Linked DNA regions of Struthio camelus. The protein of the gene in region 2 binds, or shares a complex with, the protein of the main gene of each other region. Links are inferred from orthologs where the notes say so. Each region holds a gene or a part of one and is shown on either strand. Other genes may lie near its edges.

Region 1 (3,913 bases), on a different chromosome or scaffold from region 2:
CGTCCCACCACTGTTCCCATTACCCTCTGTCCCACTACCATCCCCATCACCCACATCCCACCATTGTCCCCATCACCCACTGTCCCACCACCATCCCCATCACCCCCATCCCACCATTGTCCTCATCACCCAACGTCCCACCACCATCCTCATCACACCCTGTCTCACCACCGTCCCCATCACACTCTGTCCCACCACTGTCCCCATCACCTGCTGTCCCACCACTGTCACCACCGCTCCCCCGTCCCACCACTGTCCCCATCACCTCCCATCCCACCACCATCCCCATCACCCCCACCACTCTCCCCACCAAGGCGAAGCCACAACACCCCTCTCAGGCCAGCAGCGCTACCAGCTGCGCCGGGATGCCGGTGGCTGCTCTCCCTGCGCCCAGTGTGCCGCAGCCGGGCGACACAGGGAGCGGCAGGGGTCCGGTTTGGGTGGGGACGGGGCCTGGCGGTGAGGGAGCTGCCCCGCAAAAGTGACAGCGCCTGGGAGAAAGCGGCTCAGCGGCCCTTCCTGGCAGCAGCAGGCTGGCTTTCTCTTGGCCCGCTGTGGGGCACCTTCCTGCCACGGGGTTTCTGCCTTTCGGATGACTTGACCCCTCTCTTGCACAGCAGGCGGTTGGCGCTGGGATGCCCCTGCAGGCCCGGGGCAGGGCTCGTCCCGCGGCGGTGCCGAGGAGACGGGGAGCAAGGGCGGCTCCCGCCAGAGCGGCCCCTTCCTAGGGGCGCTGCGCCCGGCCCTGGAGGGTCCCCAGAGCTGCTGCTTCAGCGGGGTGCCCCTCGGGCCGGCCCCCGGCCCAGCCGCCGCCGACACGCGGCTCCCAGGGGAGGCTCGGTGCCTGGTCAGCCAGCCAGGCTCTTTGGCCGACGAAGGAGCCGGGGTGGCAGCCTGAGCAGCGGGGCAGGATCACGCCGGAGCCCAGCGCCATCGCTGCCCGTGGCGCCCTGCAGCCCGCTCGGCCCCACTTGGGGGGGGGGGGGGGGGTCGGTGTTCCCTTTCCCCTCTCGAGGTCTGGGGGCTTTTCAAAAGAAAATGAGGGGCCCCTTCTCCTTGAGCAGGCGGGAGGGTGCGCTCGGCACAGCCGAGAAAAGCCCGAACCGTTTCTTCCCCCCCGAAAATAAACGCCGGCGCGTGTCAAGAGTGAAAAACCCGCCGCCCCCGGGCAGGAGCCGCCACCGGCAGCCCCTCACCGCCGTGTTTGGGCTGAGGGAAGGCGGGGGGGAGGGAGAATCCCTTGGCTGAGGTGTAGTTTTAAAATCTCCAGCCGCCAGGCAGCCGGCGCTCGGGCTGAGAGTTTCACCTCAGCGAGGGCTGAGAGCCCGACGCGCCCCGGCGGGGGCCAGGCAAAGCCCAACGGCGCCAACCGCCGCCGCCTCGGGGAGGGGCGCCCCGCTCCCCCCCCCCCGGCCCCCGACCCGGCTCCCCCCGGCCCGGCGGGCGGCGGCGGCTGCGTCAGAGCTGTGCAAACAGCCGCCGCCGCTATTTAAGGGGCCGGCGGCAGAGGCGGCCCTGACTGAGTGCCGAGCCTGGGCGCGCACGGCCTCGCTCCCTCGGGTCTGGCCTCGGCGGCGCAGCGGCAGGTAGGCGGCGGCGGCCGGCACCCCGCGGCGGGCTGGAGTGGGACTTCAGTGGCGCTTTGATTTCCTCTCCCGCCCTGCCGAAAGGTCGGGTTTTGCGCACTGCCAGTGTTTTCGGTCTAAGGTATACGGGGTGGGGGGGGTGGCGAATGAACTTCGTGTTTTTTTGGTTTTTTTTTTTTTTGCCCTTCTTATGAAATTGTAAGGCGGTTGTTCGGTGCGCTGTTCAGGAACTTAAACTGAGTCACCAGCTCCCGTGCAGGTAACTTGTGTAAGTGGGAAGTAGCCTTAAAGCGTTAAGCTTTAGCTACGTTGTTTCGCCTGTTTTTACGGAGAGTAATTTTTATGTGTCCGGAAGAAAAGCCTGTGTCCGTTTATATAATCAAATAATCTAGCGAAAGGACATCGTTTTTTCTAATATTCGTTTCCTTAAGGAAGCAGCAAACAAAAATCATTACACTTGAGCTCTCTGCTTTACATCAAGAAGAGTATTGCCACGCTGCACGTTATTTCTTACTCCCGACCAGCTTTTACCACCTCAACGGTTAGATCCAGTGCTGGGGGGGAGGTTATAGATTTTGGTTTTATTTTCCTTCTGTGGCTGCTTTCCTCCTCACTGTGTGACAAGATAAAGCCTCTTGAGCGCTGCAGTTCAAACCAAAGAAAGGTTGCTCGAAGTAATGGCTCCGTAAAACTTTTCAAAATCAAGTATTTGCAGTAACAGTGGGTTTTAGCACAACAGCGGAATAGTGGTGTTTTTTAATCCTGGGATTTTCCTCGGAGCTGGATGTGTTTCTTATGTTTTAGTGAAATGCAGCTTCCAGAAAAGCGAGGAGGAATGGAGTGAATCAAGGAGATGCTGCACAAAGCACAGTGAATTGGTTTTATCCCTTCCTGTGTTACTTAACAGCCCACAGATGCTTCTGCCTCTTACCCAGGGATATTTAACTATTAATGTACATGTTTTCCAGCTTAATGCTGATCCCACAGTTATCCCTGTTTAAAAAAAAAAAAAGCTTGCTCAGAAGCCGTTGCCTCCAAAAATGAAGGTGGGGATAACATAAAATATCTGATCGTTTTAACCCCTGATTCCTATTCTCTCCAGCAATGTACAGTGGTATATGCATCTGCGTGTTCCTTGCTGTGCTCTCAGCAAGCTCTTTCGGGCAGCAGACTGCGGGCTCACACAATGGGAATCCACTGGCTGCCGAGCTTGAGCAGAGTTTGACAGAGCATCACCGGCACGTCCGCGCCCCTTCATCCACCGGCCCGCTGAAACCTGTCCCGCGGCTGGATGGAAGCATCGACCAAAGAGCTAACATTGGTGCTTTGTTGGCCAAGTATCTCCAGCAAGCCAGAAAAGGTAATAGCCTACTTCCTATGCTGCTTCTGCGTTAGTGGAGTTTCCTTCAGAAAAACCTAGATGTTAAGGGAACCCTGTCATAGTCCAGCATGGATTACCACAGAAGATAGGAGGTAGATTTTTGCCTAGTTATTCCTGAAGTAGAGAGCATTCTCCTTTTCTGTTGTTGCAAAACTCTGCCAAAAAGATTTTTCACGTATCATCCACTGGCTGAGAGCTGGGTACAGGTAACAGGAAAATTTAAACCTCCCTGTCAGGTTCTAGCTGAGCATTTATTTATTTATTTTCACTTATTTTCATAGCCTTGTAATTATTTTGGTATGTTTTGCAGCATGTTTTATTTCACCCAAAATCTAGTAATTGCATTTTCTTGAACTTTTTCATTTAAAAAACCTCCATTCCTCTTTGAAGTTAGGAGAGCAGGAAAGCTTTTCTGTGGCTAAATACAGACCAAATGGCTAATCTTTCCTCAGCCAGGAACATCCACAACAGGGAAATCTTCTGAGTATTGGACTTTCCATGTAGTTGTTCTCAGGGAGAAGTTACAAAAGCATGCGAGCTTTTGAAAGATCGGAACTTGCATTTATGAACACAGTGCTAAAGCAGTGGTAAATAAAAGTGTTTGCTTCAAAATGTGTCAATTCCTATTTGGTTTTGAGTCCCAGGCAGCCTTGGAGTACAACAGAATCTTGCAGTTACTTAAAACCTCCATGGCACTGCATTTGTAACAGGGTGTGAAGCACTGACAAGAGTAATGGAATTTGAGGGCTTGATTTTTTTCTTATGTGATATAGTCATTTAAGGAAGAAACTGTATTACATACATGAGCTAGCTAGGGAAAGAATAAAGCTGTATAATAAAAGTATATATTTTACATGCACACACACATATGCTGTCTGTACTATCAGTAGATGTGATGGATCAAAATGGTTTCATATAGTTCCCCGTTGAAACTCTCCTAAAAGAC
Region 2 (3,913 bases):
CATGGAAGTTCTCAAGGGCGCAGGTTGAAAAGGGAACTTTGGTTTCTGTAATTAACCACAGGTAACTCTAAGTCAGCAAAACCTTTACATAATGTTCTCTTTTTCTTTTTTTTTTTTAAAAAAGAAAAACAAAAGAAGTATTGATAATGAGACAAAAGTCACTTACATAGATAGTCATAATCCAGGCAGTCCTGGCTCGACCTCGATAGCATATATAAGGCATATATGTAAGTGGTGTCTCCTAAAGCCAGCCTGTTAAACCTCCATCTGAGGGCTCTGTGTTTTACGGCCCCCTGGTGACTTCTCATCACACCTGATTTTTAAGTAGTTCTTGCTCTAACTGCCAGCTCTGCAAATAATATCTACCTTGGGCTATTTTTCTCTCTGTGTTTGTCTCTGTGTTTCTCTGTGTTATGGTACCAGAAAGCTGTGGGCAAAATCTGCCTTTAGTGAGGACTGCACAACGCTACTATTTTTGCCTAGTGATCTGAAAACTGTTAATAATTCTGTCAGTGATGGGTAAGCAAGAGTAGGTGCCACGTTCCTGACTAAAGGGTGGTCCTGCAAAATACTTACTGCTTAACCTGGTCCAAAAAAACACTTATGTGCGTATTTCAAACTAAGTGGGTGCCTCTGTGTTTTGCTGGATCAAACTAAGGAGACCAGCACCATGAAGATTCGCACCACAAAGTTGCTTTTTAGTGAAGTTGGTAATTGTTCAACAGCAGATGGAAACAGTCAGCTTTTTACTGGTCTTTAACGAGCTTCTCACATATCTCATAAGATAATCTTCAAAATAAGTATAAACTTCCAAGACTTACCCATGAAGTAAGTGGCAGTTTTACAAACAGCACTGCCAAAAATAAAATCTTTCAGCAGGTTGGGAATGAGGGTGAATGGCATGCAGAAAAGGCAGAGCATTAGGTCACTGACAGCTAGTGAGAGCAGAAATGTGTTGGTGACCGTTCTCATCCGTTTGTTTCTTATCAGCACCGTAATTACAAGAATGTTCCCCAAAACACTGAGCAGAAATATCAACGCGTACAGCAGAATCCGAATGGTCTGATGCAAATCTGAAAACGGTCACAGTGAAGAATCAGTCAGGAAGCATACATTCGCTGTGTGTCCCCTCCGTAACCAAAAGGTAAAGCTTCTGCTAAGGCTGAGGTCTCTACACCAAGGTAAAATCGGTGGAAGTTCTGAAATTCTTAAAGTTATTCTGGTCTACCTGACGTGCACGATATTGAAATACAATACATGCAGCACAGTGGACATTTGGAGAGCCAGGTACAACTTCGTAAAAGCACCCTCTGCTCAAACCCCTTAGCGTGCACCGGTCGCTCACAACGGAAATTCCTCCTTCATGCCAAAGGGAGAAAGGAGATGGCAATCAAAAGGGTTTTGATACATGGATGATTTTGTTCAGCTTCAGAGTGTTATAATTTCATATTTAATCACTTTCGTACATGGTATCAGATCAGATATCTCTGCTGCTATTGATGTGTTTGAAGAGCAAAAAATATGTTTCTTTCAGCCGGTAGCAGAGCTATTTACACTGTGTGCCTGGTATTGCTACTGTTGCTTTCCCATTCTCACTGAAATTTGCTCTAGGTGAATTTTTAGCTCCCAAAGTCAGCACATACCGCCTGTTTCTCATCTTAACTTATCAGCAAACAGTTGATTTTGCACTCCCTCACAGAAAAAGCCTCCTGTAGCTGTTTTTCTCTATGGTGTCTCACTTTCAGTGAGAACTAATGCTGTCTGAGAAAAATCTATTTTCTACACATACCTTTAGAAGGGTACGGTGGATCATCCACGCAGAAAAAAGTGTCATTTTCCAAGATGATATCACACAGGAAAGTAGAAATATTGGTAGCATTCCCAAGTAAGCTGTCATCAACAATTTCCATTCTTCGGTAGCCGTGGGTTAGCTTTTATGAAGAAAAGGGTTGGTCTGTAACTATTTGCCCATTCTTTCAGTAAAGGCAAATATTTCTCAACGAAATCTTCCGTAGTGATAAGTGAGCGAGGTGGTTGTACAAGTAAGCTCTTTTAACTATCCATCAGGAATATCCAGTGCACAGAATCCTGCTCAGGGGGGAGAAGATTCATTCCCGGGGCACGCAAGGCAGTTTAGGTTCAGAAAAGCAAAGCATGAGTACACATACACATGCACATGCACATGCACACATAGGCGCACACGCGCGTGCGCGCACACACACACACACACACACACACACACACACACACCTCCTCCCGTACCTCCTTAGATCCACCCTCTTCTGTTACTGGCCTACTGTTGGGATTATAAACAGACTAGAAAAAGATTATAACATTAACCCCTTGCAAGATTGCTTCTACTCACATATCTGCAATATTTCTCAGAGGAAGTCTGTTACGCCACAGCCAATAAATCATGACCAGTAAGTGATGAGCATGATAAATCAGTCTCTCAGACAACAAAATTTAAAATGGTTAAGAGGAGCTGAATAAAAGGGCACAGAAGAAAAAAACACAGTGAAGATTTTCTGTGCCTTTTATAAAACCAATTATTTGCTCTACCTTTTTCAAAGTGAACTGAAGACTGGCTATGAACTGGTTCAGAAAAACAAGGGCCATTTATTTCATTTGGGGAGGTGCTCCACTAACTTCATATGAAAGCTCTGTAAGTGCCTGATCCAAAACCTAGTAAGTCAATAGAAAGACACACTAATTTCAATGTTCTTTGGATCAAACCTTATGAAAGTACACTATTAAAATTATTGTTTAATATAAGCAGAAGCCTATACATTTTCTCGGTGCAAAGAGCTGGATGCAACTTGTCTACAAATTTGATGAAGCAATAACCGCTAGTGTAAAATACGATGATCCTGGTTGTTTACAAGAAATTCTTTTTTATTTGTTCTGTTTTGTGAATATACAAACATCATCCTCTCTGATACTTCAACAATGTCATGGACTTTTAACGTGCCACGTACAGTTGGGGTTTGTTTGCTTGTTTGTTTGTTTTGGCTTGGGTTTTTTTTTGAGAAAGATAGAGAAGACGTACATGTAGCTCATGGCAAAACATTTTATTATAAATGAATCCCTGCTACAACTCAACTGAAAACAAATTTCACATGTAAAATCCCTTCTAATTAAATAGGCAGAGTAATAGTAGTTTTAGTCTGACCCCTTAAAGTTGATACACAAAGGCTGGAAGGCCTGGATTTCTTTGCCAGTCTCTCCAGCCTTAACGTGCAGTGCCATTAACTGGAATGGCTAGATTGGAGAGCAGATTGAACAGCTGCAGCTAAAGTTCTAATTTCTAATTCTCATTTCTTTAACAAATTAATTATAAGGTTTCCATTTCTTGTACAAAGTCTTGCAGCTCTTAAAATCTGAGCTTATTAATACAGACTCAAGCTGGCAATCAGTGTATATGATGTACTTCACATAGTAACTGTCTCATCAGAAAGAAACATTCAGTCCAGCAGGGTTCAATTCCAGTTCCAAAGGTGTATCATACTGGTAGGAAATCAATCCAGAATGACTCTTTCGGGTTTATTTTTTCCACTTGTGACTCTCAAAATGTATGAAAATTATATTTAAGAAATGAAAATTAAAGTATATTTCCATTTTTACAACGATTGTGCACTAAGCTTGAATACTAAGTACTGAGATCTGTGAAAAAAACTGATTTAGTCTCAGCTATCTAGTTCACCTTTACATTTGTGTTTCGTATGATGCAATTGATGAGTGTTACTGATCAATCACTTCTATTAAACGACAAACATTCCCCATTTACTTAAATGCAGATTTTAAATTTTTTCTCTTAGTTTTGAATTCATTTTGAATTATTCCAGTATTTCATGAATGTTTTCTCTGTCAATTTCCAATGAATTCAGCAGGCCCAGTCACTACAATTGATTAC

The links.
Region 1: the proteins of CCKAR (region 2) and CCK are in contact, whole or in part, in a cryo-EM structure (PDB 7MBX), measured with the Homo sapiens proteins. The link is inferred for Struthio camelus from reciprocal best matches to the Homo sapiens genes CCKAR and CCK. Residues at the interface, in NP_000721.1 of Homo sapiens: Cys94, Phe97, Asn98, Pro101, Asn102, Lys105, Asp106, Phe107, Thr118, Met121, Gly122, Val125, Tyr176, Phe185, Asn194, Met195, Cys196, Arg197, Phe198, His210, Leu213, Leu217, Ile329, Phe330, Ala332, Asn333, Arg336, Ala343, Glu344, Leu347; in NP_000720.1 of Homo sapiens: Asp96, Tyr97, Met98, Gly99, Trp100, Met101, Asp102, Phe103.

The regions. Positions count from the first base shown.
Region 1 is NC_090943.1:51,799,335-51,803,247, reverse strand, and holds the start of CCK (cholecystokinin), read left to right. Parts: upstream 1-1,497; 5' UTR 1,498-1,586; exon of another isoform or gene 1,587-1,707; intron 1,708-2,688; 5' UTR 2,689-2,690; coding exon 2,691-2,946; intron 2,947-3,913. UniProt on the Homo sapiens protein: This peptide hormone induces gall bladder contraction and the release of pancreatic enzymes in the gut. Its function in the brain is not clear.
Region 2 is NC_090945.1:66,705,218-66,709,130, reverse strand, and holds the start of CCKAR (cholecystokinin receptor type A), read right to left. Parts: upstream 2,266-3,913; 5' UTR 1,911-2,265; coding exon 1,790-1,910; intron 1,074-1,789; coding exon 822-1,073; intron 1-821. UniProt on the Homo sapiens protein: Receptor for cholecystokinin. Mediates pancreatic growth and enzyme secretion, smooth muscle contraction of the gall bladder and stomach. Has a 1000-fold higher affinity for CCK rather than for gastrin.